4 linked regions of the Saccharomyces cerevisiae S288C genome follow. The gene in region 3 interacts genetically with the main gene of each other region. Each region holds a gene or a part of one and is shown on either strand. Other genes may lie near its edges.

The links.
Region 1: mutations in ARV1 (region 3) and RLM1 together harm fitness more than expected from each alone (negative genetic interaction), as found in Saccharomyces cerevisiae (3 studies listed by BioGRID).
Region 2: mutations in ARV1 (region 3) and GWT1 together harm fitness more than expected from each alone (negative genetic interaction), as found in Saccharomyces cerevisiae (4 studies listed by BioGRID, with this or other methods).
Region 4: mutations in ARV1 (region 3) and SYT1 together harm fitness more than expected from each alone (negative genetic interaction), as found in Saccharomyces cerevisiae (4 studies listed by BioGRID).

What each region holds. Positions count from the first base shown.
Region 1 is NC_001148.4:375,633-383,812, forward strand, and holds RLM1 (Rlm1p), read right to left. Parts: upstream 5,519-8,180; coding exon 3,488-5,518; downstream 1-3,487. Other genes in the region: glutathione-disulfide reductase GLR1, read left to right, coding at 1-1,321; 40S ribosomal protein eS6 RPS6A, read right to left, coding at 1,659-2,363, 2,758-2,763; YPL088W (aldo-keto reductase superfamily protein), read left to right, coding at 6,333-7,361; YDC1 (alkaline dihydroceramidase), read left to right, coding at 7,823-8,180. UniProt on the Saccharomyces cerevisiae protein: May function as a transcription factor downstream of MPK1 that is subject to activation by the MPK1 mitogen-activated protein kinase pathway. Binds to the DNA sequence 5'-CTA[TA](4)TAG-3'. At least some RML1 target genes are involved in cell wall biosynthesis.
Region 2 is NC_001142.9:260,580-268,185, reverse strand, and holds GWT1 (glucosaminyl-phosphotidylinositol O-acyltransferase), read left to right. Parts: upstream 1-5,633; coding exon 5,634-7,106; downstream 7,107-7,606. Other genes in the region: SIP4 (Sip4p), read right to left, coding at 1-2,260; protein kinase activating protein DPB11, read left to right, coding at 3,135-5,429; DNA helicase SRS2, read right to left, coding at 7,239-7,606. UniProt on the Saccharomyces cerevisiae protein: Probable acetyltransferase, which acetylates the inositol ring of phosphatidylinositol during biosynthesis of GPI-anchor.
Region 3 is NC_001144.5:620,633-627,514, forward strand, and holds ARV1 (sterol homeostasis protein ARV1), read right to left. Parts: upstream 3,252-6,882; coding exon 2,286-3,251; downstream 1-2,285. Other genes in the region: CSC1 (Csc1p), read left to right, coding at 1-2,189; putative signal sequence-binding GTPase GPN3, read left to right, coding at 3,571-4,389; methionine aminopeptidase MAP1, read right to left, coding at 4,536-5,699; CDD1 (cytidine deaminase), read right to left, coding at 5,870-6,298; palmitoyltransferase ERF2, read left to right, coding at 6,486-6,882. UniProt on the Saccharomyces cerevisiae protein: Mediator of sterol homeostasis involved in sterol uptake, trafficking and distribution into membranes. Also regulates the sphingolipid metabolism. Required for growth during anaerobiosis and sterol uptake.
Region 4 is NC_001148.4:720,537-730,289, reverse strand, and holds SYT1 (Arf family guanine nucleotide exchange factor SYT1), read left to right. Parts: upstream 1-5,572; coding exon 5,573-9,253; downstream 9,254-9,753. Other genes in the region: mitochondrial 54S ribosomal protein mL43 MRPL51, read right to left, coding at 77-499; YPR099C (uncharacterized protein), read left to right, coding at 177-533; TMH18 (Tmh18p), read left to right, coding at 762-808, 905-1,343; LEC1 (Lec1p), read right to left, coding at 1,675-4,896; YPR096C (uncharacterized protein), read left to right, coding at 5,146-5,448; U2 snRNP complex subunit RDS3, read right to left, coding at 9,330-9,653. UniProt on the Saccharomyces cerevisiae protein: Guanine nucleotide exchange factor for Arf GTPases, stimulating the nucleotide exchange from the GDP-bound to the GTP-bound form. Catalyzes both the GDP release by and the GTP binding to ARF2. Has no exchange activity on Rab GTPases.

The sequences.
Region 1 (8,180 bases), on a different chromosome or scaffold from region 3:
TTATGGTGCGAAGACATTACTAGTTGAAGCTAAGGCTCTTGGTGGTACCTGTGTTAACGTGGGTTGTGTTCCGAAGAAAGTCATGTGGTATGCTTCTGACCTCGCTACTAGAGTATCCCATGCAAATGAATATGGATTATATCAGAATCTTCCATTAGATAAAGAGCATTTGACTTTTAATTGGCCAGAATTTAAGCAGAAAAGGGATGCTTATGTCCATAGGTTGAACGGTATATACCAGAAGAATTTAGAAAAAGAAAAAGTGGATGTTGTATTTGGATGGGCTAGATTCAATAAGGACGGTAATGTTGAAGTTCAGAAAAGGGATAATACTACTGAAGTTTACTCCGCTAACCATATTTTAGTTGCGACCGGTGGAAAGGCTATTTTCCCCGAAAACATTCCAGGTTTCGAATTAGGTACTGATTCTGATGGGTTCTTTAGATTGGAAGAACAACCTAAGAAAGTTGTTGTTGTTGGCGCTGGTTATATTGGTATTGAGCTAGCAGGTGTGTTCCATGGGCTGGGATCCGAAACGCACTTGGTAATTAGAGGTGAAACTGTCTTGAGAAAATTTGATGAATGCATCCAGAACACTATTACTGACCATTACGTAAAGGAAGGCATCAACGTTCATAAACTATCCAAAATTGTTAAGGTGGAGAAAAATGTAGAAACTGACAAACTGAAAATACATATGAATGACTCAAAGTCCATCGATGACGTTGACGAATTAATTTGGACAATTGGACGTAAATCCCATCTAGGTATGGGTTCAGAAAATGTAGGTATAAAGCTGAACTCTCATGACCAAATAATTGCTGATGAATATCAGAACACCAATGTTCCAAACATTTATTCTCTAGGTGACGTTGTTGGAAAAGTTGAATTGACACCTGTCGCTATTGCAGCGGGCAGAAAGCTGTCTAATAGACTGTTTGGTCCAGAGAAATTCCGTAATGACAAACTAGATTACGAGAACGTCCCCAGCGTAATTTTCTCACATCCTGAAGCCGGTTCCATTGGTATTTCTGAGAAGGAAGCCATTGAAAAGTACGGTAAGGAGAATATAAAGGTCTACAATTCCAAATTTACCGCCATGTACTATGCTATGTTGAGTGAGAAATCACCCACAAGATATAAAATTGTTTGTGCGGGACCAAATGAAAAGGTTGTCGGTCTGCACATTGTTGGTGATTCCTCTGCAGAAATCTTGCAAGGGTTCGGTGTTGCTATAAAGATGGGTGCCACTAAGGCTGATTTCGATAATTGTGTTGCTATTCATCCGACTAGCGCAGAAGAATTGGTTACTATGAGATGAAGCAACGAAACTAGACGTCCAATCTGCTGTTGCTATACTGGACTTTTGTACTCTTGTAAACAATCTTATATAGCATCCTGAAATACGTAGTAATTTTGTCATTTCTGTTCAAGGACAAGGGTTCCTTTTTTTTTCAGACTATTAGCTACTGTGGACTCGCTTGGATATTCAGTTGAGGATACATTCCGACTCTCGTTTACAATACATATGATTATTTTTCTTTTTGTTAATTATATAAAAAATAAAGTTATTTGATTTTAAGCTTAAAAATACACAAAATACAGAATAAGAAAGGAGTTTTTGAACAAAAGAATTTATCTTTTACTGCTTTCTAACTTTAAGCCTTCAAAGAAGAAGCTCTTCTCTTTCTGATTTCAGCCTTCTCAGCCTTTCTTTCAGACAATCTCTTAGCCAACAATTGAGCGTATTCGGCAGCAGCTTCTCTTTGAGCTTGAGCGTTTCTGACCTTCAAAGCTCTTTGGTGTCTCTTTCTTTGCAATCTTTGAGGAGTAACCAATCTTTGGATCTTTGGAGCCTTGGTGTAAGTCTTTTCACCCTTGGTGACTTCTCTTCTGATGACGAAATCACGAACGTCATCTTCCTTGGACAAACCGAAGAACTTTCTGATGTTGTTAGCTCTCTTTGGACCCAATCTCTTTGGAACAGTAGTGTCAGTTAGACCTTCCAATTCTTGCTCACCCTTCTTGACAATGACCAAAGCCAAGACAGCCAAATCTGGACCAACAATGGCACCTCTGACGGACTTTCTCTTTCTTTCACCATCACGTCTTGGTCTGTAACAAGAAACGTTCTTGGTCAACAACAACTTGATTCTAGTTGGCAACAAAACACCTTGCTTCATTGGGAAACCTTGTTTGTCGTTACCACCAGAGATCTTGAAGACGTAACCCTTGAATTCGTCACCAACGGCTTCACCATCGACTTCTTGACCGATTCTCTTGTCGAAGAAAACACGAATACGGTGTTCATCATCAATTTCGAAGGTCTTTTGAGACCCGTTAACTGGGTAAGAAATGTTCAACTATTTTAAATTTTCAACAGGTTATTAAGAAAATTTGTTAGTATACTATTGCAAAATTAATGTTTGAATAGGGTGAAGTTTATTACTCTAGAGAAATTATTAAGTGGAAGATGAAAAAGCTTGTCTTTTATTGACTATACTCCAAGTATATGAACTGCTTCAATTTCACGGTTTGTAGTAACAGTATATGTAAACCCGCTCTGTTTGTTTAAAAATAACGCCACAAACGCATCAATTAGTATATGGTAGTCTTCCTGCTTCTTTCCATAAAAAATTTCTAAAATCTTTACGACGTCTGGTTCTGTTTAGTTCTTTCTCACTTTCAAACTTTCATGCCATTTTTCCACATATAAAGTTCTCTGTTGCCCCTCAATAATAGTATCATAAATCATACCTTCATGATGTATAGTCTGTCTTCACTCTTTTGTCACTTCTCTTAAGCAAATATAAAAATTCAATGACGAATAAGCATTAACCACTTTATCCTTGGTAACACTGTATATGAAATTTCAAAGAAACTGCAGCATCATGATGTTCCTAGACGTCGGTACTGGAATTCCCACCCAGTAGACTTACCTAGGTAGCGGCATTCCTCCAACGCTTACCAGGAGAGATAACTTTCCCGCTAGAATCGATAGAGGAGCGTGGAATTACGCCAATCTTCCAAGTGGGAACGGGCAGAGTGTCCAGTGGCTTCCTGCCTACAGAATGCACGGCCCCAGTGGGATTGGTGCAATCGCGCACGTTCCAACTTTCCGATGCTCCGGCGCGTCGATGACAATTTTACACATGAAAAACGAACTATGTAAAAATAGTTGAAATGTATGGGTTCAATGAGAACTCGAATGTACGGATGTTTTCTCTGAATGAACCTCTTGTCTTCTTCCGGCTTCTGCTTACATCAAACTCCAGGCCAGGCGGCAATTCATTTTAGTTGCTAATGCACAAAAGAGTACTTAAATACTATCATTATTCAGAAAATGCAATTGAGTTTTTCGTTTTTCTTCCTTGTTTGGGTTATTCACTACGTAAATATGTGCATTTACAATAATATAAATATAAATTTTTTAAATGAAAAGAAGTTTCTTATGCTTGGAATATTCATACTGGTCAAATTTTTTGGTTTATATTTTGCTTGAATTTTTTTCTCCTGAAATATCAGTCGAAAAATTAAAGAATTTAGTGCCTAGTGGTGTTTGAGCAGTATTTATGTATGGAGTCAGCCCGGTATTTCCATTATATGCGGTGGCAGCAGCATCATATGTACTTGAGTTGGACTGATTGTTCGAGTCACCATCGGTAGTATGTTCTGAAATAGCAGCTCCATTTACGGGTGCATCTTCATTATTACTATAGTAACTGTTATTGCTATTGTTACTGTTATTGTCGTTGCCGTTGTTGCTGTTGTTGTTGCTGCTGTTGTTGTTGTTATTGTTGTTGTTGTTGTTAGTGTTGTTAGTGCTGCTGATATTGCTGGAGTTGCCGTTGTTTACGGCCGTCTGTACGGGAGGGAAAGTACCAGGATTGTTTGTGTTTCCCGGCTTGGCACTGTTGGGTCCCATTGACCAGTCTGGAAACATCGATATAGAAGAAACATTTGGAGAATTACTCATCAAATCATGTACGAACTTCGATGGCAGTGAACCAGTTGGAGGGCCATTGCTGGTTTCAGGGCCGGAAAAAGTTGAAGGGGGGCGTCCGGTTAATGTTGTAGTTAATGGTACTGTTTGGCTCTGTTTTTTGAAAGACATTTGTTGGTATTGCTGGGTTTGTCTTTGAGCTAAAAAAGATGTATTTTGTTGGAAAGGTCCGCCAGGAATATTCGATGGTTGCAAGGGAGTGGCAATGTATGGCTGTGTTGCAGAAAAAAGAGGTGAAGACCCACTTCCGAAAGGATAAGGGTGATTGTTATTGTTACTGCCATTACCATTGTTAGAACCGTTAGGCGCATTTGCATTTGGCAATTTTATTACCATTCTGCCATTATTACCTTTTTGGAGAGTTAAGGGGCCTGAGGCAGATGCGGATAGTGGAGAAATTTTGCTAGACCTACTTGTTTTGTTTTCTTTCATTATCTGCGAAGAGCCCATACTATTGCCGTTGGCCGATGTGGAGGAGGCAGAGGAGGGTTCACTTGGAATAGCGGAATTACTGCTGAAATTGTTGTTCGGAATTCTCACACGAAGTACCGGTCTGGCGGACAATTTCCTTCTTGCTTTGACAGTCTGCTGAATAGAGTCTTCCAAAGAATTAGATGGTGACTGAGTGTAGTTGCTGTTGTCATTATTATTGCTGCCACTATTGTTAATTTTGTGCTCCTGTTTAGGGGTCCTTGAGGATGCATTTGTAAATGGCTTACTGAACTTGTTCGGTGAAATGGAAATGGGTGGAGGACGACCATTAAAGGAAGAGTTTTGAAAGCTTGGTAATTTTGGAAAATCCATCGTGGAAGGAGAAGATGAACTGGATGAAGGCTGGTTAAGATTGTACATGCTACTATGGTATGGTCTCGATATATTTTGCTGCTGTTGCTGTTGCGGAGTTCTACTTATTTGCAAAGGATCCGGTTTCAATCTTTTCAAATGTTGTAAAGGCGGCAGCGCGTTCTCAGGATGACGTTTATTTTGCTCACTACCATCCATCTTTGAAATGAGTGCGGTCGGGGATAACAACTTCATGTGTGCACTCGGTATATTTTTATCAGAGGCTTTTTTATTCGAATGCATATTTGAATTCCTCTCAAAATTGCCATGATCATCGTCGTCCTCATCATTGTTCTCATCATCATCATTTTCTGACTGGTTCATTCCTTTAACATTTGATTTCGAAGGCTTATTTGACATAGACGACCTGAGTAGGTCTTGATTTATGTTAACGGATGCACTTTTGTGAAAGTCTCCATAATCGGAAGGATCTTTCACTTCGTGAAGCAAGTTTTTGTCATTTTGGTAGTGATAGATTAAATCATTCGTATCCACAGAGGAAAACTCATAGAACGTGTTATTGGACCCCAGTATAATGACGGCTATGTCTACTTGACAAAGAACGGATAGTTCATGGGCCTTCTTAAAAAGGCCAGCTTTACGTTTTATAAACGTGACAGCCCTATTTCTGTCATCAGAAATTCTCTGGATTTCAATCTTCCGTCTACCCATGTTGTATCTATAGTATAGTTTTGCGACACTTTAATATTTAAGTTTTTTTCACGCTTCAGCCTGTTTGCTCCGGGGGATATTAACCTCACAACGTGATAGAAACCTTGAAAAAAAAAAAGAATAATTCTGCTTGCCAGCTTTCAATTACTTTAACGAGTCAAAAGTTGAGTTGGCTATCAGGAGTAGGCAGTTCTAATTGAATCAGTCGTTGAACACTTTAGAACAGGCTCGCTTCTTTCTTACGTTTCTTTTTGTCTGTCCTTTAATTATTATTGTTCAGAGGAAGATCGAGCTGTTTCTATTATTAGCTTTCATCTCTTCCGTTTTATTTTTATCAGAAATCTGAAGTAAATTTTTTTCTTTCTTTCTGCGGCTTGGCATTCATCACCCGGTGATGCTGCGCCGTTAAGAGAGCCCAATAATGATAAGACGATTTCTGCATTTAATATACGACTGAGACAGACTTCGTCACCGTGGAAGTATTTTTTGCGAACGTGGAAGTATTTCACCCACGTATGGCAGGCAAGAACGCATTTTCAATAACGTTATTTCCACGGAAAAATGTGATTAGTGTAGTAGGTTAGGAACGGGAGATAACTCGGCCGCTTGGTTTGAATTTGTTTCCCTTCGATTTTGTTTTCATTGCTTGAGTAAAAGAAGCTAAGCTAACATCTGCCTTATTCTTCTCAGCCTTTTCGTATATATATATATATATATATATATATTAGGACCCAGAGAACAAGGTATCATATATTAATTGTCTTGCCAACTATGTAATTTGGCTGTTACGGAAGACCCACATCAGGCGGCAGAAATGGTTTTAGTTAAGCAGGTAAGACTCGGTAACTCAGGTCTTAAGATATCACCGATAGTGATAGGATGTATGTCATACGGGTCCAAGAAATGGGCGGACTGGGTCATAGAGGACAAGACCCAAATTTTCAAGATTATGAAGCATTGTTACGATAAAGGTCTTCGTACTTTTGACACAGCAGATTTTTATTCTAATGGTTTGAGTGAAAGAATAATTAAGGAGTTTCTGGAGTACTACAGTATAAAGAGAGAAACGGTGGTGATTATGACCAAAATTTACTTCCCAGTTGATGAAACGCTTGATTTGCATCATAACTTCACTTTAAATGAATTTGAAGAATTGGACTTGTCCAACCAGCGGGGTTTATCCAGAAAGCATATAATTGCTGGTGTCGAGAACTCTGTGAAAAGACTGGGCACATATATAGACCTTTTACAAATTCACAGATTAGATCATGAAACGCCAATGAAAGAGATCATGAAGGCATTGAATGATGTTGTTGAAGCGGGCCACGTTAGATACATTGGGGCTTCGAGTATGTTGGCAACTGAATTTGCAGAACTGCAGTTCACAGCCGATAAATATGGCTGGTTTCAGTTCATTTCTTCGCAGTCTTACTACAATTTGCTCTATCGTGAAGATGAACGCGAATTGATTCCTTTTGCCAAAAGACACAATATTGGTTTACTTCCATGGTCTCCTAACGCACGAGGCATGTTGACTCGTCCTCTGAACCAAAGCACGGACAGGATTAAGAGTGATCCAACTTTCAAGTCGTTACATTTGGATAATCTCGAAGAAGAACAAAAGGAAATTATAAATCGTGTGGAAAAGGTGTCGAAGGACAAAAAAGTCTCGATGGCTATGCTCTCCATTGCATGGGTTTTGCATAAAGGATGTCACCCTATTGTGGGATTGAACACTACAGCAAGAGTAGACGAAGCGATTGCCGCACTACAAGTAACTCTAACAGAAGAAGAGATAAAGTACCTCGAGGAGCCCTACAAACCCCAGAGGCAAAGATGTTAAGTTAGATTTTCATGGGCCCACTGATATATAGAAGGCTAAATAACGAGAATCATATATACTGTAACATGACACCTGCTGATTTTTACTGATCGTAGCCATTCGGCTCATATTACTTCATGTCCCTTTTTTAAATCCCTCGTTCCCGGAGAGTGGCATAGCATGTCCGATAGCGTACGCCAACCTACAGAATCAGGGGATCAGATTTCCTGAAAGCAACTTATCCATCAGTTTCTTTTTATAATGCCATAATGACAGGTGTGCCTTTCTTATTTTACTTCGCTTGCTTTCTTTCTATTGCATGCTTCAATCTTTGAATATTTGCTAATAGTGAAAAAAAAAAAGGAAATAACTATCTGGTTTATCTGCATTGTTCTTCGTTTTTCAATTCAAGAATTTAAGCAAAAGGATATATCATAGAACCTAGTGAATTTTTAAGAAAGTAAGATAAAGAAAAAAATCAAATGCTGTTCAGCTGGCCTTATCCAGAAGCCCCGATTGAAGGTTATTGGGGCAAGCCAACTTCTCTGATTGATTGGTGCGAGGAGAATTATGTCGTATCCCCCTATATTGCAGAATGGTCAAATACTATTACCAATAGTATATTCTTAATGACCGCCTTCTATTCTACATATAGCGCTTGGCGTAATAAGTTAGAAACAAGGTATATATTGATAGGAATGGGGTTCTCGCTGGTTGGTATTGGTTCGTGGTTATTTCATATGACTTTACAGTATCGTTATCAATTGCTAGACGAACTACCAATGCTGTATGCGACCATCATCCCATCGTGGAGTATTTTTGCAGAAACTCAAGAAATCT
Region 2 (7,606 bases), on a different chromosome or scaffold from region 3:
TATTCTTGCATTTATTTTTACTTTTTTTAAAAGGAATTTCTAGTGGTAAGCTATTGTCACTGTCACTATCCTCTTCATCATCATCTTCCGCATATCCTTCATCTGTTTCGTAGTCATAGTTTTCAAAGTTGTTCATAAAAATTTTATTAAAATCGTATGGTGACGCATCTAGGAAATTGGAGTTAGAACTCGAGTGTTGCAAAAGGTTTAGCTGGGTATTGACCTTAGACGCGAAATTCGACTTGACTGAACTTGAATTAAAGCTCGATACGGCATCCAAATATCTCAATTTATTCAAACTTATTAACAATCGTTGCTCTTCTTGTGAGTAATGGATTGTCTCAAAAGGAAGTAATTTGAAATTGATTTTGAGGATTTGTAAAAAAGGGTTTGTGGAAAATTCATCATAGTACCATATTGGACACCAGTGATTTAAAAAGTTTTGAAATTTTTCAAACTTTATTTTACTTGAGTGGGGCTGGTTTTGACCACTTTCGTATTTAAGTGATAATGACCAATTGTTTAAATTGTTTAAACATAAGTCAATAATGTCAATACTATTGAAGGGCGTAAAATGGTAGAGATTTAGTTGCTGTGGTTGTAACTGTTGATTATCATCATTATTAGAGTCATCTGTAAGAATTAAAAAATATAGGGACAATATCTCTAACGAGATATCCTCTTTCTTCAAATCTTGGTCCCCTTCCTTTAAAGTCATTAATTTTAAACTCAAGTAAAATAAAGTTAATTGAATCTCCACAAAATCAGGTTGATTGAGTTTGTGATTTAGACCCGTCAAATTCTTAAGTAGTAAATTTGTTGTTAGTTTTTTATTTGAACTGGATGTTAAGAATCGGAAGTTATCGTGATCACTCAAATTGTGATAAAGGTTCCACAGTAATAAATTTTTTTTAAAGCTTTCCAGTTCATTCTGGAAAAATTGGAAATTTGGGTCCGAAACATTTAAAGATGAGATATTCAACAAATTACATCCATCCAAAGAATATATGATGAAGTTTAACAAAATTTCAAAGGGCTTCAGCCTGGGGATTTCTAGAACCGAGATTGATTTCGGTTGAAATTCTTCAGTTAAAAAGTTGGACTTTGGTAAACCTTGAATTAAGGACCACCATGAGCTTAAGAATTGAAAGCACCAAAATGTCACTATTCTATCATCCTCTTCATTAGATTTATTATTATTATTGTTGCCTGATATAGGAATTAAATTTTTGGGATTTATGTACAATCCCATATTCAAAATATTTGTAAAGTTTAGGTTTAGCAAATCATTGGTCCATATTACTGAATTTACATTTGAATGTTCTGTTAACGAGCTTTTACTTTTACAAGAGTCAACAGAGGCGCCCATAAAATAAAAGATGGATAAGTTAACCAATTGCAAAACTTTCAAGTCTAATTTGCTGTTTGTTGTCAGAGAAACAATAAGCTTCGTGACTTTAAAAAGCTTGAAATCATCAAAACAAGACCAAGTAAATTGAATAATATAAAGTAACGCCAGTAGAGTTATGGGTTCACCTGTCATTGCGGTTGAATTAATCTTGTCTAATAGCAAATTTTTCCATAAATTTGTAGGGTATAATAGAAGTAGCAAAGAATTTTGCCTTTTAAAAAAATCTTTAATAATGACAGACAACAAATTTTTCAAAAACTGAAGGTTATAATCATATTTAAGTAAAAGAAAATTTGGGAGATGATTAAAGTCACCATTCAGGTTCAAAAAATTTGTTAACAGTTGCAGTTGTAGATCAATATTATTTCGATCGTCTGTAAAAACTACTGCTTTTTGAGTAGGAAAAGTATTAGTTAGAATATTCCATGTCAAATGTCCCAAAAACCTTTGATTTTCAGACTGAGTGTTGTAATTATCAAAACAATAAAATGTATCATTAATGAACGGCAAATTAGAATTTGCATTGGCGCTGGAACTCGCATTCATATTTGTCAAACGGACGACCTCTTTTTCTAGTAGTTCTGTATACCCCTTTGGAAGACCTCTCCTCGACAGTTTATCCGAGGTTTTGCAAGGGAAGTCAATTTTCGCACAGTTTGAACAGTTCGGTTTTAAACCGTCACACTTGATTTTTTTCAGTCTGCATCTATCGCAAGCATGCGCCTTTCTGACAGAGAAATCAGTGATTGCGTTAGAGGAGCTTTGACCGGTTGGTACTATCAGGACTTTATTGCTGCAGGAATCTGTATCATCGAGGGAATAAGACCTGCCATATTTCCTCTTGGCCATCGTCTATTCAGAGTAGCGAGAAGAAAAAAAGAAGCAAAAAAAAAAAAAAAAAACGAGCAAAAGAAATCGAGCAAAGGAGAATGAGCAAAGGATAAACGGAAAACAATGGTAAAGAGGATTAGCCGCTGAACTAGATTGTAAATTGAAGCGGAAAAGAAAACAAAGGAGAGGAAATCGGAGAGGCAGAAAGCTTTCTGCCTTATATACTTTTTTTTTTGCCGCCGAGTTCTGAGATCACGCCCTTAAATTTAGCCGCCAAAACACCGGTCGAACGGCGAAAATGGATCGGAGTCTTGATTGCACCCACACCTCGCATTTTGTGCACTAACATAAAATATGACGAAGTGAGAGTCATGACACACAGAATAACTTAAAAATACTTGAGGAAAAAGTTCTCATATTATGAGGTCATAATAACTACATCGTTATTGTTGCGATATAACTTCAATGTTTTCTGCCTGCAAAAGAATCCTTCCTTTTCCTTCTTTAATTGAAGAGTCCATGTAACCTTGTTTCGTTACTTATATTTATTCACCTTTCTACTTTAGTCACATAACGTAATCTGGGCATAATCATTGAGGTATCATTATTAGCTTGAACTCGTGGTTCCTATTGTCGCCAGGTTTCTTTCAACGCATTTGCTCTTTCCGCTTCGCATACGGCGGTGATCAAATGCAAAACTTACCCTCATCAGTATAAGAGAAGAAAAACTGCATGGACTATTCGCGTATTGCCTGGTAAAGCTATATAGTACTATTGGTAATGTTTGTACTGTTTTATGTACATGATGAATAAGAAGAGACAAATTTTACGTGATATATAAGTCTTCTATTTCTAGTATGGCAGGTATTTTATCAGTAGCATTAATATTACTATGAAGCCCTTTCAAGGAATAACATTTTGTCCGACTGCAATAAATAATGAAATCTTAGCTAAAAAAATATCAAAGAAAATTATTAAGTTAGGAGGTATATTTTCTAAAGATTTGACCAGACAAGTTAATGTCCTTGTTGTTGGGTCCACCACCAATACAAACAAATTTAAATTTGCGGTGAAGCATAGATTCGATATCATATTTATTGACATTCAAGCCATTGATGACATTTATCAGCTCTGGCTGTCTGGAGAAAATATATTGCCGGACTCTAATACGGCAACAATGACAGGATCCACCTATGAGATGCTGAAGATACTTTACCGGCGATTTTCGTTTAAATATTTGCATAACTTCAATATCTTCATTGGCAGAATAACCGACACTAACATAACTTCCATCGATTCATTGGTTAGGAGTATTAAAAAGTTAGGGTGTTCTAGTTATAACTATCAAAACTTTGTAATCAAAGATACCTCTTCACACAATGATGACGATGATCAAGGTCAGAATGGGCAGATATCCATTTTTGTTACGGATACTTTACTAGGAGCAAGAGTTAACGCTGCTATTGAACAAAATATACCTATTGTACATTTCAAATGGATTCTCGATTGCCAAAAAAGAAGCGCACTGTTACCGTACGATCCCTATTATCTTTTACCAAATATTAAAGACCTGCCCTATGATTCAATCGGATCAAACTCTTGCGATTGCTGGGATAAAATAAACACCACCTTTCCAACCAATATCGATGCCCAATCCTCTCTGCAGCGGCAGCAATCCTCCAGTACCCTGACTCCTTCGCTCCCGAAAACATCATCCCTCTTGAATAAATTTAAACCAAAGGGTGAAAAAATATGGGACAAGGCAATGTCTCTACAGCAGCATAGTAAGACAAATTTTTCAGTACTAGGGCAGTCACCATTATCGATAAATAACAAACAAGAAGATTTAAGTGATAATAGTACTTTGATTTTCAAAAATTGTGCGTTTATCATTCATCATATTTTTCCTGGCAATCACCGTTCAATACTAACCAAAATTGTTGTTCAAAATGGGGGTAAAATTGAGACGTCTTACTTGAGCGGCATTTACGATCATTCTTATTACATCATTCCAAGTAATAAAGCTCTTGACTCCTTCAATGATTTACCTGAGATTATAGATGATAATGATGGTATAGTTACAGAATTTTTCATTGAACGCTGCTTGTATTATCAAAAATTACTACACCCAATAGATTTATGGTCAAAACCCTTCCTCAGCACAATAGAGTTTCAAGTTTCGTCTTCTTCAAAGTTATTGCATCATGAATTTTCTTCTTCCCCTTTTCTGAATGTTACTATCACTGGATTCTCTGGCGTAGAGCTGTTACATCTGACTAAAGTATTAAATCTTCTAAAACCAATGGGCATCAATTATGTAGAATACCTCAATAAATCCACTGACATTCTGCTAATCAACTTAGCAGCTTTACCCAGTATCCCGAAAACCCATCCGTTATGGTCGAATGAATTTAGCGATCTTTTTACTCAGTTTTGCATTAATAACAATAATGATGATCCTGGTGATAATAACAGAAAAGATTTTCAAAATAATTCAATCTTGAGAAATTCGATGAAAAGGAAAATTGAATATATCAAGAAATTCCACTCCATACCGGTAGTTACTCCAGCATTTATTTTTAAATTATTGTCCGCTGCATCTGGAGAAAATAATGAAATCTTTTTAAACAATATCAAGTGGTGTATTATCTGCCCAAGAGGACACAAGGACGATTTTAAATGTAAGATAAAAAAACCATACTATACCAGCATTAGTTCAGAAAAAAAGTACCAAAACAATGATCCAAAAATCGACAAAACTATTCTTTTGAAAAGAAACAATTCCTCATTATCGGAGCACTCTATGAAAGATACCAAAAACGAATTATTGCAGAAAATTAGAGAAACTGATTCTGGAAGAAAAAAGCGTAGTGTCTCATCGAGTATCATGGATGTTTCTTCAGAGAGACAAATGCCGGATACGAAAAGGATCAAGTTGGAGTCACTGCCAAAAAATTTCGTTCCTAAACAAATTAAACGAACCACGAGTTGGGGCACAATAATGTCAGAAAATGTGCCTACAGAGCAGCCGACTGCAATTTCTAATCCAGAAGAGATCCCAAGAACTGAGGAAGTTTCACATACTCAAGTTACCTATGGCTCCATTCAAGATAAGAAACGTACTGCCTCTTTAGAAAAACCTATGAGACGACAGACAAGAAATCAGACAAAGGAATTAGATTCTTGAAATGTAGTCCGTAATTTTATAAGATATTCATTTACATACGCCATCTACAGCATTATTCAAATCTACTCATCTATATGTATTACCGTTTTGTATGATAATACTTTCCATGACATGCTCGCGTGAAAAAACAGCATGAGAAAAAGAGGATCGCAATAAGAAGACACGTAAATATCTAAATAAATGGCAACAGTACATCAGAAGAATATGTCGACTTTAAAACAGAGAAAAGAGGACTTTGTGACAGGGCTCAATGGCGGTTCTATAACAGAAATTAACGCAGTGACATCAATTGCTTTGGTAACTTACATATCATGGAACTTATTGAAAAATTCCAACCTTATGCCTCCTGGCATTTCCAGCGTGCAATACATAATTGATTTTGCATTGAACTGGGTTGCTTTGCTTCTATCTATTACTATTTATGCTAGTGAACCATACCTTCTAAACACGCTAATACTGTTACCTTGTTTGCTCGCATTCATATATGGAAAATTTACTAGCTCGAGTAAACCTTCTAATCCAATATACAATAAAAAAAAAATGATTACACAGCGGTTCCAACTAGAAAAAAAGCCGTATATTACTGCGTATCGTGGTGGGATGCTTATTCTGACTGCTATTGCCATCTTGGCTGTAGATTTTCCAATTTTCCCAAGGAGGTTTGCCAAGGTGGAAACTTGGGGGACATCCCTGATGGATCTTGGTGTAGGATCATTCGTTTTCAGTAACGGTATTGTTTCTTCTAGGGCACTGTTGAAAAACCTAAGCTTGAAGAGTAAACCCAGCTTCTTAAAAAATGCATTTAATGCCTTAAAATCAGGAGGAACTCTATTGTTCCTAGGATTGCTGAGGTTGTTTTTTGTAAAAAATTTGGAATATCAAGAACATGTCACAGAATATGGGGTTCATTGGAATTTTTTTATCACCCTATCATTGTTGCCACTTGTATTGACCTTTATTGATCCCGTCACAAGAATGGTTCCACGCTGCTCAATTGCAATATTCATTTCATGCATTTATGAATGGCTACTTTTAAAGGACGATCGCACTTTAAACTTTTTAATTTTGGCTGATAGAAATTGTTTCTTCAGTGCTAATAGAGAAGGCATCTTCTCATTTCTAGGTTATTGCTCGATTTTTCTTTGGGGCCAAAACACGGGATTTTACTTGTTGGGAAATAAACCAACTTTAAACAATCTTTATAAGCCTTCTACGCAAGACGTAGTTGCAGCATCAAAGAAGTCTTCGACTTGGGACTATTGGACTTCAGTAACCCCATTAAGTGGCCTCTGTATATGGAGTACAATTTTTCTTGTTATCAGCCAGTTGGTTTTTCAATACCATCCTTATAGTGTTTCAAGAAGGTTTGCTAACTTACCATATACTTTGTGGGTCATTACTTATAATTTACTATTTTTGACTGGGTACTGCTTGACTGACAAAATTTTCGGTAATTCTTCGGAATATTATAAAGTTGCCGAATGCTTGGAATCAATCAACTCCAATGGGTTGTTTTTATTTTTGTTGGCAAATGTCTCTACTGGTTTAGTCAATATGTCTATGGTCACGATAGATTCTTCACCCTTAAAATCATTCCTGGTTTTGTTGGCATACTGCTCATTCATAGCTGTCATATCGGTTTTCTTGTATAGAAAAAGAATATTCATTAAGCTATAATAACACACCATCCACATTTCCATGTAGTTCGTATACAAACCCTACCAGTAAAATAAAATTAACTCCTATGTGCTTTAAATAAAAATTATAAACCGCCTCCAATAGTTGACGTAGTCAGGCATGAAAGTGCTACTAATCGATGACTATGATTTCACCGTTGTTTAATTTTGACTTTTTTTTCGCACGTGACAGCTGAGAAAATATATCCATTTGACTTGATGCAGGTTCATTCTTCACCTTTTTGGAAAATTTCTGTGTCTTTTTCATTGCTGCGTCAGCCAAAAACTTAGCATTGGAGATTATTGGACGATTGTCAACTGTAGTGTCATCCGGATTATGTAATAACTCAGCAGCTGTTGTATTTCTGCTGTCATCTTCCTCAAATTCACTCTTCAAATCTATCACTTCCTCCACCTTAACCTTGTCACCTCTCTTAGACTTTCTATTTCGAGTTTTTGGTTTTATTTTTTTCGTCTTTTTCGAGCCCAAAAGCTCTCTCC
Region 3 (6,882 bases):
TACTAAAAAAGTGGCCTAGATTATACGCAAGCAGACGATATAAAGATGACGGGAACCTTCGCTTACCGTCCTGGAATCAGTCAAGTTTATTCGGCTGGTTAACAGTGTTGTATAAGATACGGGACGAACAGATTCTGGAATATGCAGGTTTAGATGCGTATGTGTTTTTGAGTTTTTTCAAAATGTGCATCAAATTACTTTCTATTTTTTGTTTCTTCTCTGTGTGCGTTATATCTCCAGTAAGATATCATTTTACTGGAAAAATTGATGACGGCAACGATGATGATGACAGTGAAAGTTCTTTAATACATCTGGTAAAAAGAATTGTGGAGGGAAGTGGCGATGGTGACAATCATTCAGCTCCCGAACGTACAAATGTGTACCTCTGGATGTATGTTCTCTTCACATATTTCTTCACCTTCATAGCAATTAAAATGGCAGTTGCGGAAACAAAGCACGTCGTAAGTACTAGGCAAGCTTATCTTGGGAAGCAAAATACGATTACTGATAGAACGATAAGGCTCTCAGGCATCCCGATAGAGCTTCGTGATTCGGAAGCCTTAAAGACCAGAATTGAACAATTAAAAATCGGCACCGTTTCATCAATCACTATTTGTCGAGAGTGGGGTCCTTTGAACAAGCTATTTCATTGTCGGAAGAAAATACTCAAAAACCTGGAATTAAAATATTCAGAATGTCCAAGGGAGCTCCGTACTCGACAACCATATTCGGAGAACTATCATTTATTGGGAAACGAGCAATCAGGCGCAGTTACACATGGAGAAAATGTTCCATCAAGCAATAATAATGACGAGGATACTATACTATATTCTCAAATTTCTCTTGGAGAGAGACCAAAAATGAAAATTGGATATCGTGGTATCTTTGGGAAGGAAGTAGATGCCATAGAGTACCTGGAGCAGCAATTAAAATTTATTGATGCTGAAATTATTGAAGCGAGGAAACAACACTACTCCGCAACACCTACGGCATTCGTTACGATGGATTCTGTTGCTAATGCGCAAATGGCAGCTCAGGCGGTATTAGATCCTAGAGTACATTACTTCATAACCAGATTGGCTCCTGCACCTCACGATATCAAGTGGGATCATGTTTGTCTTTCTAGAAAGGACCGGTTAACAAAAGTTTATTCTACTACCGTATTTATAGGCCTTTCAAGTTTGTTTTTAGTCATTCCTGTATCATACTTAGCCACATTGCTAAATTTGAAAACACTTTCGAAATTCTGGCCAAGCGTAGGGCAGCTACTAAAAGATCACCAGTGGGCCGCTAACATTGTAACGGGGCTATTACCAACCTATCTCTTCACATTGCTTAACTTTGGAATCCCCTATTTTTACGAGTATTTGACTTCTTATCAAGGATTGGTATCATACAGCGAAGAGGAAATCTCACTTGTTTCAAAAAATTTCTTTTATATTTTTGTCAACCTTTTCTTAGTTTTCACATTGGCAGGTACAGCATCTAATTACTGGGCGTACCTCAGCGATACCACCAAAATTGCTTATCAACTTGCTACATCTGTGAAGGAGTTCTCCTTATTCTATGTCGATTTGATTATATTGCAAGGTATTGGTATGTTCCCGTTTAAGTTGTTATTAGTTGGTAGTTTGATCGGCTTTCCTCTAGTGAAAATCAAGGCTAAGACACCTAGGCAACGGAATGAACTTTACAATCCACCGATATTTAACTTTGGACTACAATTACCACAGCCAATTCTGATTTTGATTATAACGTTGATCTACAGTGTAATGAGCACGAAAATTTTGACTTCAGGGCTGGCGTACTTTATTATTGGGTTTTACGTCTATAAATATCAATTGATTTTTGCCACAGATCATTTGCCCCATTCTACAGGAAAAGTATGGCCATTAATTTTTAGAAGAATCATCGTTGGATTGCTATTGTTTCAATTAACAATGACAGGAACACTGGCAGGATTCGAAGGAGGATGGGTTTTGTCATCTTGCCTTTTCCCGCTTCCAGTAGTGACATTATGTTTCCTATATGATTTCGAGAAGAACTATTTGCCGTTGTCAAAATATATCGCATTGAGTTCAATTCGCGAGTACGAAAGAGACAATTCTACGGTGAATTCTGCCAATGAGGAAGAGTCGTATGCATACCCTTACGCTGTGAGTGAATTAGAGGGTCCGATGTTGGATTGAAATCCCAAGGTGCTATTTCTATATTTATATATTTTGTTGTGAAAATGCCAAAATAAGATTTTTGATACAAGTAATACTGGATATTTTTTTATTTGCTTATAACAATAAATAAGTTCCTGACTTCTGTAGTAGTAGTATAAACTCCTGATGTATTAAATTCTTAATAACTGAAAAGTTAAACTTTGCCACGAAAACTATAAGTATTGGCTTAACCATGAAATATCGTAATAAAGACACACTTATAAAAATCTTTATGATATTCCAATAGGAAAGATTAGTTACAATCTTCAACGATTCAATAATATAGAGATTAGCTACCCACTTAATGATACTCATCGAAATTAGAGTATCATAAGGCCATATCAACATCAATATCGGAAAAATTTTGGCACCGTACGATAATAAGATCGTATATGATATGACATCCTTTGAAGAAACGGAATAGTGCTTCCAATGCAACTTTTTCAGTATGAAATACTGGGTAAAGGTGTGGAATAAAGAAACGTCAAGAATACAATAACTTGCAAAGTAAAGATATTGTATTGGTGGGCTCCAGGTAAACACTTTACTTGTAATGGTATTGCGCATGATTGCCGAGTCCCATTTGAAGCTCTCTGGTAATTTTTTTGAAAGCATGATGAGCTTACCATCATTATTGTTACGGTTCAAATAGTAGATGTATTTACTCTCCTCAGTAACCCAAGTTAAATAAATCTCGAATGATAATAGTAGAAGCCAAAGGCGATTTAACCGGTCATATTTACAAAACCAGTTCTTTACGTTAAATAACAAAGCTTGCGTATAGTCACGCAAACACTGGCAATCATTTAGCGCTTTTCTTTTCGGATATTTTGAGAGATGCAATTCCAAAGCATTGAATACCAAGTGTCTATATGCACCTGCTTTTAATAGAAGCAAATCAATGAATAACAGGACATTATCTATCTCAACATATTTGTCTACTGTCTCTTGGCAATATGGACAATCTGTCAGCTGAATGTGGTCATTCGAGTACACTGTATAAAGGGAATCTACGGGCCGCATGCACGTTATGCAAATCATCGTTTATCACAGCTAATATCTACTTTTTGATGCGCTTCATCCGTTCACTGACGCACCAAACCTTCCTTCTATGCAATGACAAGAATTTCTCAGCTTGATTTATGCCATTGATGTTTCTGAATCATCAATTGTTCACATAGGGCTATTCAATTTGGCCCGCTGTCCCTAAACTGAAAAAATACTAAGAAAAATTTTGCAAAAAATCTAAAATGATGAGGTGAAAGATCAAAAAAGAAAGATCAATAATTAAGAGGTTGGCAAGTCATCCTGATCGTGAAAAAAACTTAACAAGTACAAATAGAGTAATCAGCATTGGAAAATGTCTCGCGTTGGTGTCATGGTATTAGGACCTGCAGGTGCGGGGAAAAGCACATTTTGTAATTCCATTATATCACATATGCAAACTGTAGGACGAAGAGCTCATATTGTAAATTTAGACCCTGCCGCAGAAGCTACCAAGTATGAATTTACTATTGACATTAGAGATTTAATTTCCTTAGATGATGTCATGGAAGAAATGGATTTGGGCCCCAATGGTGCGCTAATATATTGCTTCGAATATCTTTTGAAAAATCTAGACTGGCTTGACGAAGAGATCGGGGATTTCAACGATGAATATTTAATCTTTGACTGTCCCGGTCAAATTGAACTCTACACGCATATCCCTGTCTTACCGAACATAGTGCGCCATTTAACTCAACAACTGAATTTCAACCTTTGCGCCACATATCTTTTGGAAGCGCCATTTGTGATAGATAGCTCAAAATTTTTTAGCGGTGCACTATCTGCTATGTCTGCGATGATTCTATTGGAACTACCCCATATCAATGTGTTGAGCAAACTAGACTTGATAAAAGGCGACATCAATAAGAAAAAACTGAAAAGATTTTTGAATCCCGATGCAATGTTATTAATGGAAACGGAAGGAATGAATCAAGCATCCAACCCTAAATTTCTAAGACTGAACCAGTGCATAGCCAACCTCGTCGATGATTTCGGTATGGTTCAATTTTTACCTTTGGAATCTAATAATCCTGACAGTATAGAAACCATATTATCGTATGTCGATGATATAACACAATGGGCAGAAGGACAAGAACAGAAAGAGCCTAACGACCAAATAGATGTCGAAGAATAGTTATAGAGAAAATTATGTACGCTTGATTCATATAAAAAGAGGTAAAAAAAAAAAATAGCTTCTCATAATAACCAATTCGGACTCGGGAAAGTACAAGTTCAAGTTTTTTATTGGTTTCTATATGTATAAGATAAAAATACCTAGATCTATTTAATTCTCTGTCTTGGGCCACCTGGTGATTTCTTATTCCTGGCTGTTAGGATTTCAACACCATGTTCGGTAACCAACAGTGTATGTTCAAATTGAGCACTCAGTTTACCGTCTTGGGTGGTAGAAGTCCAGTCATCAGGCCAGGTCATATCCTTCCAAGTACCTTCATTAATCATAGGTTCGATGGTGAAAACCATACCTGGTTTCATAACACCAGGTGTTCTATTCTTGGCGTAGTGGGGAATATTTGGGGAACAATGGAAAAATTCACCAACACCATGTCCACAATAAGTTCTTACTACACTGCACTTATTTTCGGTAGCGTGTTTTTCAATATGATCACCTAACTCTTGGAAGGTGGTACCTGGCTTACACATTTTAATGGCTAGTTTCAAACATTCTCTTGAGGTCTCAGTAGTATTAAGAGCTTCCTTAGAAATGTTTTCGCCGACATAATATGTCTCATTCAAGTCTGCATGATAACCTTGGTAGTATAAGGAAACATCTAAATTGACAATATCACCTTCCTTCAAGACAGTTTTATCGGGCACACCGTGACAAATAACTTCATTGACAGAGGTACAAAGCGATTTAGGAAAGTTGTAATAATTAAGAGGGGAAGGGTAGGCACCTCTCTTAATTGTTTCATTGTGGACGATTTCATCTAATTCATCTGTAGTGATGCCTGGTCTGACATGGGCAGCGGCAATATCAAGAACTTCTCTACCCAACATACATGCCTTTCTAATCTTCTTAATTTGATCTTTCTTGTATATAGGGATGTTGTTAAGTCTATCATTTCTTTGTTCACTGACTGGTAGCCCATTAGCGGCCCAGTCCGGTTTAGGAATATCTTCAGGGACATACCTTCTTGGGGTAAGTGGATATGAAGCCTTCACTTTACCAGAATATTTGAATTTTGGGAAAGGATCATAAGCACCTTCCAAGCCGTCCTTAGCATTGTGCAAAGCTTTGTGAGCTTTGTAGTTGTTTTCATAACAGCTTGTGTCGCAGAAAATGGAAACGATGCCTTGTTTTAGACAAACAGGGCATTTCATTTGGGACGAAGTTTCTCTACCACATTGCAAACCGGAGCAATATATCTTGGTAGGATGAGAAGCCTGATCGGAGGTAGTAACTGTTGTAGTTGCAGTGCTCATTATACAATTTTTTTGCTTATTTTTTTCTTGCTAGGAATATACACAATAGCGTTCTTGGGATGAATAATAATAATATCAGTTTTTCTTCTTTATATGAAAAATGAAAAAAAAAAAAAATAAGTAAAAAATTTTCGCTTTCTTTTCGGGGAGCAGCCAAATAAAGATTGCTGCTAGTTTAAATGAGATGGACCAAAAGCCATGGGCAGCAGTTCTCCCATTGTCATGACTTTAGAACGAGAACCTGTGGAATTAAGCATGACTATTGGAAAGTCCTTGACCACAAATTCATTGATAAACTGCCTGCAAACGCCGCAAGGGGAAACACACTGGTCCTCAGAATCGCCACAAATGACCATGCATTTCCATCCTGAGCGATGGCCTGCCATTAGAACTTGTATCATAGCAGATCGTTCTGCACATATACAATTACTGTAGCTTGCATTCTCGACATTAGCACCAGTGAAGATAACATCGTTATTTGTTAATATGGAACAACCGACACGGAAGTGAGAATAGGGGCTATAGGAGAGTTCACACGCCTTCAGTGCCGCCCTTTTTAAGGCTTCCAGTTGTCTGTCTTCTATGCCACCTACTTTCATTACCTTATTTCTCTGCTTGAGATTCTCTGTTTGGTTTTCCTAGTTTCTTGTACATAAACAGTTTGTGTTTATTTTGTCAAACTACTCGGAAATTGGCGAGCAGCGCCTTATCAAGATTACAGTTTGCAAATATAAAAATGTAAAGGAAAGAAAGCGTAAGGTAACAAGAAGAGAAACGGGGAAGATAATGGCCTTGGTCTCTAGAAGGTCGACAAGATCGGAAAGCACCTCAATAACAAAGGAAGAGCATACAGGAGAAGGTTCATTGACGAAGTTGTTCTTCCGATGGCTTGTTACCTTGGAGGGTGATCAGGATATAAACGATGGAAAAGGTTATATATCGTTACCGAATGTCTCGAATTATATATTCTTCCTTGGTGGCAGGTTCAGGACAGTAAAGGGCGCCAAACCGTTGTGGTTAGGTGTTCTCCTTGCTATTGTATGTCCCATGGTTCTCTTCTCCATATTTGAGGCTCACAAATTGTGGCATACCCAAAATGGTTATAAAGTGCTGGTCATTTTCTTCTATTATTTTTGGGTCATAACGCTAGCATCCTTTATCAGAACAGCCACTAGTGATCCTG
Region 4 (9,753 bases), on a different chromosome or scaffold from region 3:
AGTCTTATCTGCCCCAAATTATATATACAAGTATAATTATCTCTCTCTATTTCTAGAATTTTCTTATATACTAAAGCTAAATTCTATGCCTTTTCGCAGCATGCAGAGGCGACCATATACCCCTCACACTACTGTTCAAGCTTTCCACGTTATCATTCTTTGTTCTTCTGCGTAAAATGTCTCCATCAGAATCCTTCAATAGCTTTAGCTTGTTTTCTACATTGTCAATGTTCAAGTTTCTCACACAAATAACTTTTTCACGCCCATTTGTGTATTCTGCCCTCAACAAAGGATGTCCAGACTTCCTCATCACTTCAAACTGTATCCATGGGAACTCCTGGCCCCATTTATCTAATCTCTTTGAAGTCAAAAATTTCCTCATGCCTTCCGAAGACCCTCCCCAGTTACAGAATTGCAAAGTAATCTTTCTGCATGGAAACACGAATGCTCCAACTCCATTACGACCTATGGAATTTCGTGCAATAGCTTTCACAACCATTTCTCCATATATTCGTGTCTGTGTATCTACTTAGTCATGGTTTATGATAATCGTATTGATTGATCTTTTTTATCTCAGGGCTTATGATTTGTTGTAATTCTTATGAGCATCCCTCATCCGAAAAAGACGGAAAGCACCGTAACGTATAGTGCGATAAACTTACAGAAAAGAATAGTATTATTTAAGGGAGTTAAATGGAGTTGTTTGATGATATAGGCAGATCAAACTACGCTTTACAGTCCAGTAAACTTAACAACGAAAAATGTGTTTAGTCAAAACTACGGCTCATTTGCTTTTTTATTCCTTTGTGTATGTACAGATTAAGACACAAGAAAAAATTTGAACAATTATGATTAATTGAGAATAACTGACTAACAACTTTTATGTACCAACTTAATCTTTCAGATTTGGAGGAACGACGTTTTATTCCTATGTAGCTTCTCCAATCGCATTCAAAGTTCTTGAAAAAGACCAATTTTCTGCTTTGCAAAATAAGATCTTCCCGTATTTTTTCCAAATGCAAGCGGCATCACCTGTCATCCTGGCCCTTACCGCTCCAATTGCCTTGACAACAGGACCATTATCTTCTTTGGTGGTTGCATCTGTCAGTGGGCTAACCAATTTGTTTTGGTTGTTGCCCTGGACCCATAAAGTTAAAGAACAAAGAAAGAATATTGCGAAGAAATACACGGGTAGTGAATTGGAAGCAAAGGATGCTATATTACGTAAAGAATTTGGCAAGTCGCACGGATTGAGTCTTTTGTTCAATCTTTCTAATGTTTGCGGGATGCTTGCGTACGGTGTTTGTTTGTCAGGTGGTTTGTTAAGAAAAATTCCAAAATAATTATTTTACAAGTAAATATATATATGCAAGATCATTTTTTCGTCATTCCTTTGCCAAGGTGGAGATGAAGTTCGCAATCGGAATTTTTTGACCCTCAATTAAAGAATAAGGGACTCAGTTCTCTGCTATCCTGATCTTGGCTAAAAATAACTAAAAGGGGAATTGTGCTGTTTGTAGGATCTTAAAATAAAAGAGAACAATATTTATCTTGAAGTTTTTTCTATTTTTTTATTTCTACAAGCTTTTCTTATATATAGACCTAGCAATCCTATATTATTAAGCCGGAAAATCGTAACGAATAAAAACGAATAAAGGAGATACTAGAAAGGGCCTACTTTTTAGCAATTTGAGCTTCTAAATAATTTTTTAATTCCTGTGCGAAAACTTGAGATCTCAATTTATCAATTTCACTTTCATCAACAACAAGATTCAATAAATCTTTGTATTGCTTTTCTAATTCAACTTCATTCTCTTTATGTAAAAAATCGTAATCACCTGTATCGAGATCCAAATCCACCAAATCACCATCTCCAAGTCCAAAAGATCCAGAGCTGGATGGCATAACCAAGGAGTTTATGTCACTCCAATTCTTTTGAAGTATGCCAGCAGCGTGTTTGTTATTTTGTTTAGTACCTTGTTTAACCTTCAAATCTAACAACTTCTTATAGATTTTTCTCGCACCAATCTTTTTATTAAGAACATTATTAACTTGAACTTTCAAAAGTTTGACATCAATATCGATATCATCTCTACAAATTAACTTATTGAAGTCGATCCTTTCACTCGGTCCTCCGAATTTACTCTTTTGCAAAAATTTCACTATCGTAGTAATCCAAGTAATAAAACCTTCAAAAATGCCCTCTGAATCGTTCAAATATACATCATGAATAAACTCAAAAAAGGCATCTTGATGTTTGGTTACTAAGTTATGGATTTCTTCCACGACATCGAACTGTGTGGAAACGCCCAACTGACCATTGATAACATCATCAACAAGCCTGATCAAATCACTCATGAACTTCTCAAAATTTTTCAAAGCAACATCCATCCTTGCAACTTTGAAGATCTTGACCATAGGTTCGTAAATCATAGTGACAATTGCCTTTAGCATTTGGGTTAACTCAGGATCTTGCCATAGCTGCCTCATTAGCTGTTTATCATGTTCTTTAATATACAATTGCCATAAATCTTTGACGTGTGTGAAATAAATACCTGACTGATCTTCGCTGGTTACATTCAAGGCATCCGTGTCTTCTTTTTGCAGTTTCCATGATGAATAGGATTCAATAAGTCCCGCGACAACCTCGTCTGGAATTAGATTTGCAGCTGCACTTTTCATTAATACTATCAATGGTACAGGCATGTTCATGGATTCGGATTCTGCATTTACTGCGTCCATAGTAAAGAGTTTAGTATCATGCTCATCCTTAGTATCATTATTAAAGACAAAATCCTTCAAGCATTTAGTCACAACTGAAGCGCCCGGGTCCATCTCAGCAATTTTCCTTTCTAATTCCTTTATAGCTACCTTTTGAGTTTTCAAATCATCTGTTAATATCGTAGAAAACATTGTTTGAAGGAGCGAATGACCACCGAAGGGTTGTGCCATAAATAATTCAATCATACCCCTCATGATCGCTATTGGATTAGTAAATTTCATGATCTGTCCCATTACTGTGTACGGCATAAGCTTATGTAACCGTCTTATTTGTGTATAGAGTTCATAACTGTTATCGTTACCCAGAAACATTTGATAAATCATTGAGGAAATATAAATCTTACACCATTCCACAAAGTCTTGTAAAAGTGGTGACAGGTCTTCAACTTTCGTATTGTCCTTGATTTCTACTAGTAGACTCATCAAGTATTTTTCATCTTTTAACAGGGATGTTTTGAAATCTTTCATTGAGTCTTGCAGCTTTAAAGACTTTTCTAACGCCATCTGTTGGAAACGTATTTGGTTCTCCAAATTACTTACATCTATCAGAGCCCTGTTTCTAATGTCATCTGCTATTTTCGGATTTATGTCCTTAATATCTAAATTAGGCCCACTTAGGAAGAAGCGACGAATAGATGAGCTTTGAGAAACCTCTGCATCTTTACACAAAGTCCTTAAATATTGTCTTAATGAAGTTCTCATTTTTTCACCCACCAAAGTATTGATTTTTGAATCGGATGCATCTTTATATTCATCAAAATCACTTTCTTCACCTTCACCTTCTTCCTCATACTCGTCCTCATCAATATTATCTTCTTCCTTGATCTCATTTAGAATATTTTTTCTCAACGTTTCAGTTTCTTTTTCTGTGAGTACTGTTTCTGTAGCAGATAATTCATTCGTTGTCTGTAAAAATGAAGAATTATCAGACTCTGATGCAGATTGTAAATCAGTGTCAAAAGTGTTGACGATTTTTTCCCTGGCTGCTGATTTAGTTTGCCCATTGTGTAACACTTCGGTTTTAGTTATCATAGACGTCACTTTTTTATTTCTATGAGGTAAGCGCGGACATTTCTTCCCCGGAAATTCTGATTTTAAATCATGAGATAGTTTTTTGAAGTCGCTGTATGTTCTTGTCACATAGAAATAACCAGCATGGTGATCAAGATTACTATTCTCTTCATTGCTGTTATCTTGGTCGTCGTCATCTTGCTTCTTAATCTTAATCAAGAAATAATGATGTTTTCTAGATTGCTTGCTCTTAGTTGAAGGCACGCCAAGGGATAATTTCGAAAATAAAGATGCTGAGGATTCGGGCATACTATTTATGGTACTGTTAATAGTGTTGTTGAAGGCATTCTTCATCCATTTAGAAGTGGAAGCAAATGATTTTATAGCATGGCTTTTGGGACTCGAAGTTGGAGTAGATTTACTAGACTTGTCATTATCCACACTTTCAGTACATTTCCGTGAATTCTTATTGAACACGGATATAATATTGACGTCCCAACCGTTAATAAAAACGGATTCGTTAGTGAGCAAATTCTCTAAATTTTCTCTAGTTGGCATTGCAAATTTCTCAATATTAGAGCGTTTTCTCGCTTGGCCTGACTGTAAAACGAATTTATCCTCATTATAATACGCTTGCTCTTGAAAAGAGCCAACACCGGAGTTAAAGAGCAACAAGATAACCTTTGATAGCTTTTTGGAAACTTTCTTCCTTTTTGAAGCTTCCTCCCTGTCATAACTTTCACTAAACCCAAGACTCATGAAATGTTCAAAGAACACTTGAACCTTACTCTGCCAGAATTTTTCATCAACTAGCAAATTTGTTGAAAGTAAAGGAAATGTGGATATAAATTCTTGCAAAACATAACTCAGCATGGGATAATTAACGCTAAAATGGCCTTTGCCACCGAGCACTGGTGATGAATCGTTATTGGAGATAGGCTGTGGAGCTGTCGGATCGTTTGGTGAGAAAGGATAACCGAACTTTCTCAAAGCAAACTGATCGTTAAGCTTTCCAATTTCATAATCCAATTGACATCGAAGCAGTTCCCTCTTCAGGTAGTGTTCTTCCGTTGGATTTAAAGCAGGAGTGTCTTGAGTAATCATTTGAAGACTGTCTATTTTTGATTCTTTAGTACAATTATCTTCAACCACTGATTTCAGTACACAATTCCGACCACAAGGTAAGGTTCGTTTTTCTTTTTTTATAGAGCCCAATGCACAGTAATTGGATGTAGCTCTTAAAAAAGAATGAAAGCTAGAAAGTGATCAATTATTCGAAAAACACTTTAATACGTTCCTTGTTCACGCCTAAAAAGTTAACTGTCAAATGGTTAACGTACATTTATCTGTCTTATGAGAGGCGAAACAGGCGTAAGCATTAAAAACCCAAGGCCATCTCGTCCTTTTTCTTGTTTTTGGCGTAAAGGAGATGTTGAAAATATTAGGAAAAGTGATATAGGGAACGAAAAGAAAATAGACGCTAAGTTCAACAGGCTTCAGTATAATCTATATTACAAGCCTCTCTCGCACCACAAGGCCGGTTTATTGTACAAAGAACTCTTCTTCAGAAGCTGCTTCTCTTATACTACCTGCTCATTAGACTTTCAGGGTAAAAGGCACCAAGTGGAAAGAAAGGCAGTAGATATAGTACTTTGAATTCTTTTGACATCGCAAGGTTACTCGCATCCACTCCCTATTATTTACTCTGTTTCAACTCATTGTAACTTCATTTTCGCTAACTTCCCGCCAGACCAGCTCTTCAATCCACACTTGCCAGATAATGAATCAGTCTATTTCTTCGTTGATTAAGCTTAAATTCCTTCAATCACACAGTAACGATAAAAATGGCAACAAAAAGGGCGGAAGCAATGTTTCAACAGGCATAGATAAATTAAGAGAGTCGGAAAGTTATAGAAGTCCTTTTCTTCAACTCGCAGAAATACAGGAACACACTAATAATGACGACGATAAACTTGATGTAAAAGAATGCGAGCCCACAAAAAAACACAGCAAACTAAGCAGGATACGGCGTAAGATGGGTAGGTTAGACTTGAATTTCAGGTCAGCCAATGAAAAGGGTTCTGAAGATGATGAAATCTTGGTTGCACAACACCTCCGTAATGGACAAGATCCTGAAGAAATGCCTTTCAAATCAGAAAACAACATAGATTCGATAGAGAAAGTTCCCAAGCCCGATGGTGAGAGAGTCACGCTTACTAGCTCCGGGTCTGATAACGTAAAGAGAAATTCAAAACACGCCCCATTCATTCCTGTGAAACCTGCTCTAGAAAAATTTCCTTCTTCTAATAGATTGTCAAGAGATTACAGAAAATCACAAGAGCCTACCCTGTTTAACGGTGATAGATTAGTTCCTACTCTTCCTACTGTGAGTAGGATATCGACATCTTCTTCCGTCGGTTCCTCTACAGCGGCTTCAAGATATTTCAATCCGTCCAAAAGAGCTGTTGTTGCATCATCATCATCATCGTCGTCGTCAATAAAATTCAATTCGCTGCACGCAATACCACTTGATGCAACTCCTCAAATTGAATTGGCAAAACAACAAGATGAGATCTCCAAAAGGAGGTTCGGAAGAAGGCGCAGTAGAACTGTTGACGTATTTGACTATATTAACAAAAACAATACAGCAAAGAACAAACCGCCACTCTCTCCATCTTCTTTTATTAGGACTATTGACGAGAAAAATACAAATTCTCTTATGCAAGACCCCATGGGATCCCGCGGACCTCTTTTGCCCGATGATGCCAATATTATAAGCAATGATACAGATGGAGCGGAAGCAAGTCACCCAGACCATCAGGTTTTATCAAGGTCTCGATCTCAAAGTACGTCTTTTGTTCAAGGCAAGGGCGGCAAGAGAAAATCAATTGAAGATGAAGGCTACCATAACAAATTGGGCCTACCTCATGGATCAGGCCCTACTTCAGTTTACAACAATAAAAGCAATGCCAATTCAACTATTACTGGAATGTCAAGAAGAAGTAGCTCAATTGTGAATGCTTTAAGTAGTTTTGTTAACCTTCGCTCCTCCAGTTTATCATCCTCTAGGCAACAGCACCTTCAACAACAACAGCAGCTACAACAAAAACTGGATGTCTCGCTGGAAGATCTACCACCGGTTCCCGCGCCTGAATTTAGTGATTCTTGTAAGGACTTCTTGATTAAATTAGCGCCCTACGGAAAGTTCATTGGGATCATTTTAACGGAAAAAGATGATGAGTTCAAAAAAAATTGTTTAAACTACCTATTAACGAATTGCTTCGAATTTAAAAATGACCCTTTAGATATTGCCCTGAGGAAATTGTTGATGTTTTTAGAGCTTCCAAAGGAGACGCAGCAAATTGATAGATTGATAATGGCTTTTAGCTTTGCATACTATAAGGCCCAAAAGAGCTATTCTAAGAAAAAAGGAATTGAGTGCCCCTGGTCTAATGCAGACCAGGTGTATTTTATTGCATTTTCCTTACTAATGTTGCACACTGATTACTTTAACCCCAACAATAAAAGCAAAATGACAAAGCATGATTTCGTGGATTTAGTCCATAATGACAAATACTCAGGAGGTAATGAGATCCCTATGGCCGTTTTGACATATTTTTATGAGAATGTGACAGCCAAAGAGTCGCCGAAATTTAATTACTTTTTGATGTCACCAATGGCGTTGGACGATAGCATCCTTGATAAAGATGCATTTGACACAAATTTTGCTATCACATTATCTTCGAATTCGATGTATTCTCCCATAGACATGATAAAAAGGGGGAGTATAATACCCAAGGAAGCTTCCCTTTCCCCAATCTTTTATCCGCTAACGAATTCAATTAGTGCATCTGGTATTGCCCCATCTACGGCGGCTTCTTGCCCACCAAGTACGTCGGGTACTATAAACGGGGCCAACCTCGGAACGGCTAACAGTAATAGCAATAGACCGGCTTCTAACTCAATATCGTCTTATTTTTCATATAATCCAAGCTCTAGTTCTAGCGGAAATGCTACGTTAGTTCAAGATGACATTAACGTTTATTCGCACATTATAAATGATACATTAAATGAAGTAAATCTATTTCCAGAAGTCTCAAAATATTGGAATAAGAATGCTCTGAAGGCAAATTTGTTGAGAAATGAAGAACATAAATACGAAAAATATTATAGTATTATGAATGATACTAAAGGTGGGTATTTACGCTTTCACAAAAGTCAATTGAATAAACTGAATTTACCTAATTTTGAAATATTGAATGATAATAGCCGGTCTGGATGCAAGAACTCCGATTATAAGTATTGCAAAATCCTTCAAATGGGAGCAATAATGAATTTGGGGATGCCCAGTAGAAAATTTTCTATTGTTAACTCCGCTAAAATTCATTGGAAAAAGGAATTTGCCATATTAACATCATTGGGGCTTTTGATCTGCGATAAAATGGACTGGATAAATCCACAGATGATGAAGGACCCAAAATCAGGAACTACAAACTATATAATTGATTTTAAATCAGGATTTTCTTTTGTTCCGGGAAGTACGATTGACGTGTATAACGGTTTATTTGCTGATAGGGAGCGAGATTCACTTGGGAAATCTCATTTCGCAAGTTTGGTACTTGCGTATACAGAGCATCATTCTACTGGGAGTCATACAAGCAACACAACTGCAGCAAGTAGCTCCGCCAAACACAATGAAGGAGTCTTCGAGCCATCTTCAGATGAAGAGGATAGCATAACGAATTCTACTGATGGTACGAGCAGTGTGAGTAACGGCGAGAGTGACAACGATAGTGTTTCTAGTTCAGATAATCAACTCAGTTCAAATGACAGTAATGAAGATTATCATTCCATTAAGGACGAGTATCCGATTTTCGAAGACGAAAATGCCGATTGTCTATTATACTTACATACATGTCATCGAAATTTTATCTGGAAATGTGCTAATAAGTATGAAAGGGACAACTGGATCGATTCTATCAATCTATTTTCAGCATATGACGGATGCTATGTGGAAATTGGTAGTATAGCAAACACTATTTGTAATAAGAGAAAGCTTACCATTTTGCAGAGGATGGAAAGACTTAGGTCTATAAAATCAGCCAAATGGGAGAAATTGAAAAAATTTGAAAGCACTCTGATGCTTATGGGAAAATGTGTTCCTATTAGCACAAAGACTAAGACAGATATGATAAACCGCATAAGACAGCTGGCTGTCAGAATGGACTGGTTAATCTACGAAATTAAGAGAAGCGAGCTGTTTGTAAGTATCATAAAAGAAGTGACTCGCAAGCAGGCTGAAAAGAATATCTTAGAGCATGGTAAAGGAGAAGAGGAGGGGCAAGGCAATAACGACGATAGTGATGGTATAGATGATATAGAGGAAAGCTTCTTATTCAACGAGAACAGTTTGCAAGTGTGCGTGAGCGACAGTAGTTACGACGAATATAGTAACGAATAAGGGGAAGAAAATAGTACCATGGGTTATAAATGCATGTTATTTATTTATATATTTTTACATATTCTATATGTATGTGTTATACCTTTTTCTTTTTCTCGAAATGTCTATCCAGTCTATTGCTGCCAAGGTTTAAGATCCTAGGACAGCCATCTTTATCTTTACCTAAGCGGCAGCACTCCCAACAATAGAATGCGTCATTGACTCCAACATTTAGATTACAAATTATACAATTTTTAGCTTGTTTACCAAACGAACAGTTTTCACATACTCTAACTTTCCTTTTGGGCCTTACATAAGAGTCGCAGATAGGACATTTGCCATCACATTTTTCACAAAGAAGACCTGTCTGTACACCAGGCTGCTTTAGGCACATTATTAGATCAAACTGATGGCGGGACATGTTTTTTTTGTTGGAGGCTTGTATGTGTGTGGATCTTTTTTGTATCCATCTTCATTTTCTATGTTGAATGCCTTAGTAAGTGAGAAATATGGCAAGTAAT